Arabidopsis thaliana: one gene and its partner. The protein of the gene in region 1 interacts with the protein of each later gene in a pairwise test. Each region holds a gene or a part of one and is shown in the gene's direction. Other genes may lie near its edges.

The links.
Region 2: the proteins of CYTC-1 (region 1) and AT4G01920 interact in a two-hybrid assay, tested with the Arabidopsis thaliana proteins (one large-scale study listed by BioGRID).

Annotation. Positions count from the first base shown.
Region 1 is NC_003070.9:8,077,353-8,081,282, forward strand, and holds CYTC-1 (CYTOCHROME C-1), read left to right. Parts: upstream 1-1,934; 5' UTR 1,935-2,031; coding exon 2,032-2,143; intron 2,144-2,159; exon of another isoform or gene 2,160-2,622; coding exon 2,623-2,756; coding exon of another isoform or gene 2,757-2,760; intron 2,761-2,835; coding exon 2,836-2,934; 3' UTR 2,935-3,222; downstream 3,223-3,930. Other genes in the region: AT1G22830 (Tetratricopeptide repeat (TPR)-like superfamily protein), read left to right, coding at 1-1,680; AT1G22850 (SNARE associated Golgi protein family), read right to left, coding at 3,319-3,366, 3,563-3,673. UniProt on the Arabidopsis thaliana protein: Electron carrier protein. The oxidized form of the cytochrome c heme group can accept an electron from the heme group of the cytochrome c1 subunit of cytochrome reductase.
Region 2 is NC_003075.7:828,064-833,224, reverse strand, and holds AT4G01920 (Cysteine/Histidine-rich C1 domain family protein), read left to right. Parts: upstream 1-1,936; 5' UTR 1,937-2,145; coding exon 2,146-4,122; 3' UTR 4,123-4,399; downstream 4,400-5,161. Other genes in the region: AT4G01925 (Cysteine/Histidine-rich C1 domain family protein), read left to right, coding at 1-52; AT4G01915 (uncharacterized protein), read right to left, coding at 4,928-5,013, 5,097-5,152.

The DNA of each region.
Region 1 (3,930 bases):
GAGATTTTGCATCCCTTGCCGTGGAATGTGCTCATCGGTTCGTATATTAGGAACAAAAGGTTTCAGGAGTCTGTTTCTGTTTACAAGCGAATGATGAGTAAAGGAATTAGAGCGGATGAATTTACTTACCCGTCTGTTATCAAGGCTTGTGCAGCATTACTGGATTTTGCATATGGGAGAGTTGTTCATGGCTCTATTGAGGTTAGCTCTCACAGGTGTAACTTGTATGTCTGCAACGCGTTGATATCTATGTATAAAAGATTTGGTAAAGTGGATGTTGCTCGGAGATTGTTTGACAGGATGTCTGAAAGGGATGCTGTCTCATGGAATGCAATAATCAACTGTTATACTTCAGAAGAAAAGTTAGGGGAAGCTTTTAAGCTTCTTGATAGAATGTATCTCTCTGGTGTCGAAGCGAGTATTGTAACTTGGAACACAATAGCTGGAGGTTGTTTGGAGGCAGGAAATTACATAGGGGCTTTGAATTGTGTTGTTGGGATGAGAAATTGCAATGTAAGAATAGGTTCTGTAGCTATGATTAATGGTTTAAAGGCATGCTCACACATTGGAGCGTTAAAGTGGGGGAAAGTATTTCATTGCCTTGTGATCCGTAGTTGTAGTTTTTCCCATGATATTGACAATGTTCGGAATTCGTTGATCACAATGTACTCAAGATGCAGTGATCTTAGGCACGCGTTTATAGTGTTTCAGCAGGTTGAAGCAAATAGTTTGAGTACATGGAATTCTATCATTTCCGGTTTTGCATACAACGAGAGATCAGAAGAAACCTCTTTCCTGCTCAAGGAGATGTTGCTCTCTGGATTTCACCCAAATCACATTACGCTTGCTAGCATTCTCCCTCTTTTTGCTCGGGTGGGAAACCTGCAACATGGGAAAGAGTTTCACTGCTACATCCTGAGACGCCAAAGCTACAAGGACTGTTTAATCCTGTGGAACTCCCTTGTCGATATGTATGCAAAATCCGGTGAAATCATAGCTGCAAAGCGAGTATTTGATTCGATGAGGAAGAGGGACAAAGTGACATACACTTCTTTGATCGATGGATATGGCAGGCTGGGTAAAGGAGAAGTCGCATTGGCATGGTTCAAGGATATGGACAGATCCGGTATCAAACCTGATCATGTAACTATGGTTGCAGTTTTATCAGCTTGCAGCCATTCCAATTTAGTGCGTGAAGGACACTGGTTGTTTACGAAGATGGAGCATGTGTTTGGTATACGCCTTCGCCTTGAACACTATTCTTGTATGGTTGATCTTTATTGCAGAGCAGGTTACCTGGATAAAGCCAGAGATATATTCCATACAATACCTTACGAGCCATCAAGTGCTATGTGTGCTACTCTACTGAAAGCGTGCCTCATCCACGGGAACACAAACATTGGGGAGTGGGCTGCAGATAAGTTACTACTAGAAACAAAGCCAGAACACTTAGGTCACTATATGTTGCTTGCAGATATGTATGCAGTAACTGGTTCTTGGAGCAAGCTTGTAACGGTGAAGACTTTACTGAGTGACTTGGGCGTGCAAAAGGCTCATGAGTTTGCTTTGATGGAAACAGATTCGGAGTTAGATGGAGAGAATAATAAGCCGATGAACGATGATTCTGTCATCAATCAGGAGCAAAGTTCAGATGAAGAACGTCTTGTAGAAGTAGGATAAAGAATCAAATTCTGATAGAAATATTTTATCAAACTGGAGAATCAATTTGTACATAAATCTTATATACAACAAGTTTTAATTGCATGATTTCCTGTAAACATAAGTTTACATGAACTAGGGGATGGTCCTTCGCAAGTATGAGTAACAAGCATAAACAGCATTATATATGAAATAAATATGAGCCCACCTAAACCCATTAAGGGCCCATTAAGATTGGAGATACTGCTTTTTTAAGAGAGGTCACTTTTTCCACAGTGAAACCCTAAGGAAACTTCGGCAAGCTCCAGAGAAACGAGAGTTCCGTAATCATTTTCTCTTGTTGTTCCTGATCGCGTAGCTCAAGCGAAAAAAATGGCGTCGTTTGATGAAGCACCACCAGGAAACGCCAAGGCCGGTGAGAAGATCTTCAGGACCAAGTGTGCTCAGTGTCACACCGTCGAAGCAGGCGCCGGTCACAAACAAGGTTTTCACTCATCGATCTCTCTCACTCTTGAATTCTATTTCTATGGTTGATTTTCGCAATTTATCTGAATTTTTATCGGGCCTTTGTTTTACATCGCTTTATAATCGATTTGTTCATGTTAATCAAAAATCTCTGATGTGATCTGGTTAACGGATTCTTCGATTAGATCATAGATCTGATCCAATAACCTCGATGTCTTACTCGTGTTTATCCTTAAATCTTCAGCTCAATGCATGTGACGAATTTCTGAGGTTTTTATATACAACTTTTCGCATTTTTGTGGAACTTGATTCTCGAATTCTAAGTAATGATACAACAATGATTTGAGCTAGTTGCGTCACAGATTCTCATTTTTTCTTGAAATTGCGTGAAATTAGAAAACACTGTTGCTCAATGGTTTCTATTGTTTTCGTAGCTTTTGTAGAATGTGATTTGCGTCACATTGTTGCTCAACACTTGACCTTGTTGTTTTAATATAGGACCCAATCTAAACGGTCTATTTGGAAGACAATCTGGTACAACTGCTGGTTACTCTTACTCTGCTGCTAACAAGAACAAAGCTGTGGAATGGGAAGAGAAGGCCTTGTACGATTACTTGCTCAACCCCAAGAAGGTTTGTATAATCATGTCATGATTGTTTCATGAGTTGTTGTTGTTAACATTGAGATTGATGGCCTTTTTATATGATGCAGTACATACCAGGTACCAAGATGGTGTTCCCTGGGCTAAAGAAGCCGCAAGACCGTGCTGATCTCATCGCCTACTTGAAGGAATCTACTGCGCCTAAGTGAATCTGATGGTGGATTGATTCTGAGTTGTTAAGTCTCTCTCAGATGAGGCTTTTTTACTTTGCTATATTCTTTTGCCAAATAAAATCTCAAACTTTTTTTGTTTATCATCAATTACGTTCTTGGTGGGAATTTGGCTGTAATGTGTGCTGAGGCTCACTTTATCGAGTACATTTGATTTTCTGAGGCTCATTTTCCTTTTTTTTGTCTAGAAAGCATTTTCTCACTTATTATTGGTGCTTAAATTTGAAGGACAAAAAAGATTCGAATTATATATCAACTATTAACAATAATGGAGCAATACATTTAACGTTGATACATGATACTCTGTTGGCGTTTTACAAATCCTAGAGAGTCAAAACCATTATCCAATCGCTGGCTTGTTTCCTACTTTGCATCTCTCTTCTCATCATCATCAATATCCTTTATAGCATCCTGCAACACACGGCAAGTAAAAGATATACATGAGACAGATTCATTTCACTTTACATCTTTTAAGTTTCAACCAAATGTGGGACTTTTCTGAGCTTATATGCTACGAAGCTTTGAACCAGTTGGTTTGATATCAGAAGTGGGAGGCAAATATAACGCAGAACAGAGAAAGAAAAGAAGTAAACAAGTATGAGTTTACCTTTGCAAGGCTTGTCACATATGTTCCAGCCAATGCAGTAACCAACAGACCCACCCCGAGAGTTAAAAGCTGGCCGTTTCCTCCAGGCAAGCCAACATTAGATTCTTCTTGCTGAAGCGACATAGACAGAAGATTGTCATTTGATGATTTTATGATGCTTGCCAGAGTCACCATGTATTCACAATTCAACAGGATATCAGACACAGTTTCTACAATTCAAGTTAACTTCCATAAGTTGACTAGCCTCCCTCGTATTGAGTACATGTTTACCATTCGATATCGATCTCCTTTTCATTAAGTCAAAAACAAAACTTTTAGCTGATGATTTTAGCTAGCTTTCTACCCTACACAAGTGCTGATCAACATGA
Region 2 (5,161 bases), on another chromosome or scaffold:
ACAAAAATACTGTTGCTCTCCTTATTGCGCTAATGCAATGAGTGTGAATTAAGATGTCTAGCGAGTGGGGTTTCCTTAAAGATTTCCTGTAACCATTTCTTTCACAAGTTCATTTCCATTATAAGTTGATTTCCTTAATGTATTATTTATCTAAGAATCTTGCAATTTTAGTTTGATACGATCTTGCTGTTTCAAATGCTTTCTGACATTCGTTTTCTACAAAATTTCACCTTGAAAATGAACAACACAATACTATCAGTCTTGCATTATCATGATTGTCAGCTTTTCGCTTCTTTCTCAACGTATTGTATAGTCTGTTTCAGGATCATTAGAAATAGTAAGAAAGTAAACCATTGTTGCAAGAAATCTTGGCAATGGCGTCTTCAAACAATTGTTGTTTCAGATTACTAACATAAAAACAGGGACTTCAGTTTTTATTAGGAACAGAGTTCCGATGTCTGAGAACCAGGACAGATGTTTTCTGCATAATTCATTTACAGTTAAAAACACATCTTGATTGATTCAACATGAAACCAAACACAGACTCCATTCATTATTATTCGCAGAATCTAGAGACCGAAATGAAAATGTTTTATCAACATGTACACACGTTTTAAGGCAAGCCAAGATTTGTGTCTTTCTTTTGAAAAGAAAAAAAAAAGAAATTAGATCTAAGAAACTTGCAATTTTAATTTGATATGATCAGCTGTTTCAAACAATTATGCCTTGTCTTTGGAATGAAGGATCTTTACTTACGCCGTTGTATTGAACATAATGCCAACTACTGGTTATTGCGCTATGTAATGCATATGAATCAAGATGTCCAGAGAGTGGGCTTTTCTTTTAGATTTCTTGTACCATTTCTTTTACATGTTCATTTCCATTATAATAAGTTGATTTCCTTCATGTATTATTTATCTATGAATGTTGCAATTTTGACTTTGACGATCTAGCTGTTTCAAACGTTAATATGAATATTAATTCCAAGATCTAGTGAATTAAAAAATAATTGAGATATCCAGCTCATAAAAAAATAGTTCAGAGTTTAAAAATGGATCCGAATCCAATGTTTTTAGATTTCTTTCATTTTCATTTTTTATATAAATAGTGCTAATTGATACGACTAAAGAATTAAAAATTGACTATTTTAAACTAGTGGTTCATTTTAATAAAATAATACTAATGATTGATATTGTAAAACTATTTTTCCGTTTACTTTTAAATAAGGTTTTGTGCTAACTCATCCATTTTGCAACTTTATTTTCTACCTCCAATAAATGCAGATTATTTTTATGAAGTCTAAAATAATACAAAATATGATCTTTATATATATATATATATTGTAAACGTTTTTACGGTTATATACATTAGATTTTTAAAATTTTGAAGGTAAAGTTAAATTCTTCTTCGCGAAAGTTTTAATTTAACATATTATTATCGATATTTTACAAAATTGTTGGTAACAAAAAAAAAGGCAAAAGAGGGTTATAATGCATATTATTTTATATTGTTAATGATTAATCTGTATTTGATGGAGGTAGAGGTTGAAGTTGCAAAAATGGATGAGGTATAGTGGTTTTTGCACAAAACCCTTAAAATACTTTAAAGATAATAATTTATTTTTTTGTATATCTAAGTTAAGTAATTGTAAATAAATATTAAACATTGTAACTAAAAATAAATAAATAAACATAATAAATAGAATGAATCATTTACTTGAGAGTTAGAAGATACATCAAAATGATAATCATAGAAAAAAACACCAAAACGATTGTTTATAAAATTAATTCAGTTGATGTAAATTATTAATTATTATAACTAACAAAATGCATGAAAAAACCGGCACGGTGCGGGTTTTGGGCCTAATTATTTTTTATTGTTAATGAAAGACCAATAAAACCAAAAGTCTAATAAAAAAATAATTTTGTAAGGGCATCGTTGAGGATTTGAGATTAACGCAGAGAAGACTTTTGAGAGAGAAAGGAGCTTAGCTTTGAGATTTCAGATCCAATCTTCTTTTTCATAAGAGCATCGTTGAAATTAAAGAGAGAAGACTTTTGAGAGAGAGAGAGAAACGTGAAAGAAACTTAGCTTTGAGATTTCATATCCAACTTCTTCTTCTTCAAAATCTCTTAGTAAACGACCATGGATTCTAAGGGAGTGTTAATGCCGTTGATCCACGAGCATCTTATGATGCCTTGGAAAAATCTGAAAAGAGGTCCTTGCTGTGGTTGCTGTGGACGCTTTGAAGCTATCAGTGATGGATACTACTGCAAAACCTGCGATTTTTTCGTCCGAAAAAATTGTGCTGACGAGCCCTCCGAATATATCAAGCATCCATCTCACCCCAAGCACACTCTTCAGCTGCTAAGACCTGAAAGACCTACTAATTTCTGCAATTTGTGTGGAAGGATGTGCCCAATATTCTATCGTTGTGATCTATGTGACTTCGACATGGATTTATACTGCTCAAAGTATCCACCACCAGAGGTTATTGACATTTCCAAGACGCATCACCACAGGCTTACCCTTCTCAAGAAGTGGATCAAGCAATGTATATGTGCTAAATGTTGCAAGATTATTGGTAATGAGTTTCCTTACAATTGTCATGAATGTGATTTATCCTTTCATGTGGATTGCGTATGGTATCCGCCCGAACTAGAACTCCGTTTAGAGGTAAACCATTCTTACCACTCTTTACACCCTCTTAAACTCTACGCAAAGGGTCAGTTACCGGATTATTCTGATGGGAAATGTCGTCTTTGCGCAAGAAAGATTGATGAAACATTTTTTTTCCATTGTTCTCCGTGTAACTTTACCTTGGACAAGGTTTGTGTTTTGCGCCCACCACAACAATCTCTTCTGAATTTGAAAGCTCATGATCACCAACTCACCCTTCTCCCAAAACTCGATTCTTTTACATGCAATGCTTGCGGGCTGAAGGGAGATCGTAGCCCTTACGTATGTTTTCAATGTGGTTTCATGATCCATCAAGACTGTCTTGGCCTTCCACGCCTCATCAACATTAACCGGCATGATCACCGTGTTTCTCGAACTTCTGTTCTTGGTGTTGTGAATTCTGTATGTGGAGTTTGTCGCAAAAAGGTGGACTGGTCTTATGGAGGTTTTTCTTGTCAGAGGTGTCATGGCTATGTTGTTCATTCAAAATGTGCTACTAGAAAAGATGTGTGGAATGGGAAAGAACTTGAAGGATTACCCGAAGAAACAGAAGATATAGAGCCATATGTGGTGATAGATGAAAACACAATACAACATTTTAGTCACAAAGAGCATTACCTAAGACTCAACGTTAATGGTGTTCTATGTGATGACAACAAGCGGTGCAAGGCATGCACCCATCCCATCTGTCTCCAGTCTTTCTACGGCTGTATGGATTGTAACTTCATTCTCCACCAAAACTGCGCTGGATTTCTTAGAATGAAATGGCATGTGCTACACAATGAACGTCTTACGTTGGTTACAAACAAGGATGAAGGCTTTAGGTGTTATGCTTGTGATAGATTGTCCAATGGTTTCAAGTACCAGCATGGGAATAAGGCATTCGATGTTCGGTGCATTTCAATTTCTGAGCCACATATCCATCCAAGTCATCCTAATCATCCCTTATATTACTTTCCATCAGACGAAGTACAATGGTGCACTGGTTGCAACATGGAGCAGGACTTTGTGCTTAGTTGCATTGAAGATAATTGTGGATTTTTATTATGCTTTGGATGCGCCACTTTACCACAAATGGTAAAGCATAGAGTTCATGATCATCCTCTCTCACTATGCTATGGCGAAAAGGCAAGTGGTAAATATTGGTGTGACATTTGTGAAAAAGAAACAAATCCACATACATGGTTCTATACGTGTAAAGATCATCAGGCTAGTTTGCATACAAAGTGTGTGCTTGGAGACCTTTCAAGTCTCATGCGAAGAAGCACAATAAAAATTGAGGGCACTTCATATGAGGTGGTGCTCAATAATAGTATATCTCGTCCATTTTGCAGCTGGTGTAAGATGCATTGTATTTTTCCTATCATCTTGAAGACACTTGGAGCCACGAATGAATACTCCTGCTCTCTTGAATGTGCAGAGTGTAGATATACAGACCGTTAAAGCCCAAAATGAAGCAAGATGTTTAGCGAGTCGAGGTTTTTCTTGTAATGTTATTTTTTTTCTTTCTTACGAGTTCATTTCCTTTATAAGTTGATTTCCTTAATGTATTAAATATCTAAGAATTTTCTGGCACCAAACTCCATATACAATGTGTGTGTTGTAACATATATCATATGAGGTGGTGCTCAATAATAGTTTATCTCGTCCATTTTGCATCTGGTGTGAGTTGCGTTGCATTTTTCCTATCATCTTGAAGATACTTGGACCCTCGGATGTTTAGCGAGTAGGCTTTTCTTTTAGATTTCTTGTACCATTTCTTTTACAAATTCATTTCCATTCTAAGAAGTTGATTTAATGGTACTTATGGCATGTATTAGTTATCTAAGAATCTTGGAATTTTAATTTGATATGATCAGCTGTTTCAAACGTGTTATGCCTTGTCTTTGGAATGAAGGATCTTACTTACGCCGTTGTATAGAACATTCTGCCATGCTACTGGTTATGGAGGTACCATTGAACGCTAATGTTTCAGATGGGATGCCATAGAAATTCACCCAACTGATCAAAGAGAACTTCTTAACTCAAGAATGTTGTGTCATCATCATTCCCACCAGTACTAAGATTGACATTTTTTGAAGAGCAAACTATAACCATGATAGACATTCAAGAAGATTCCCTAAGCATAATGTCAATGTGCATTCTGTTTCAGATCATTAGTAATAAAGTAAACCCTTGTTGCAAGAAGTCTTGGGCAATGGCGTCTTCAAAGCATACACATGACTGTTTCTTTCAGATCATCTGGTATTCAGAAACTACAATGCTTTGAAGACGCCATTGTAGCAAGTTCTGTGTGTAGACGAAGTAGCACGTTGTCGTCCACGTAACCAATCCCTTCACCAGAAAACAAAACAAAAAGAAACAGAGTATTCATGTGTATGTTTTTGTTTGAATATGTCTGTATAAACACTTATTACCTGGCCAAAGATCTCTATGTTTGCTTCTGGATATATAGTACCACAGATGGAAGAATCTGTTAAGC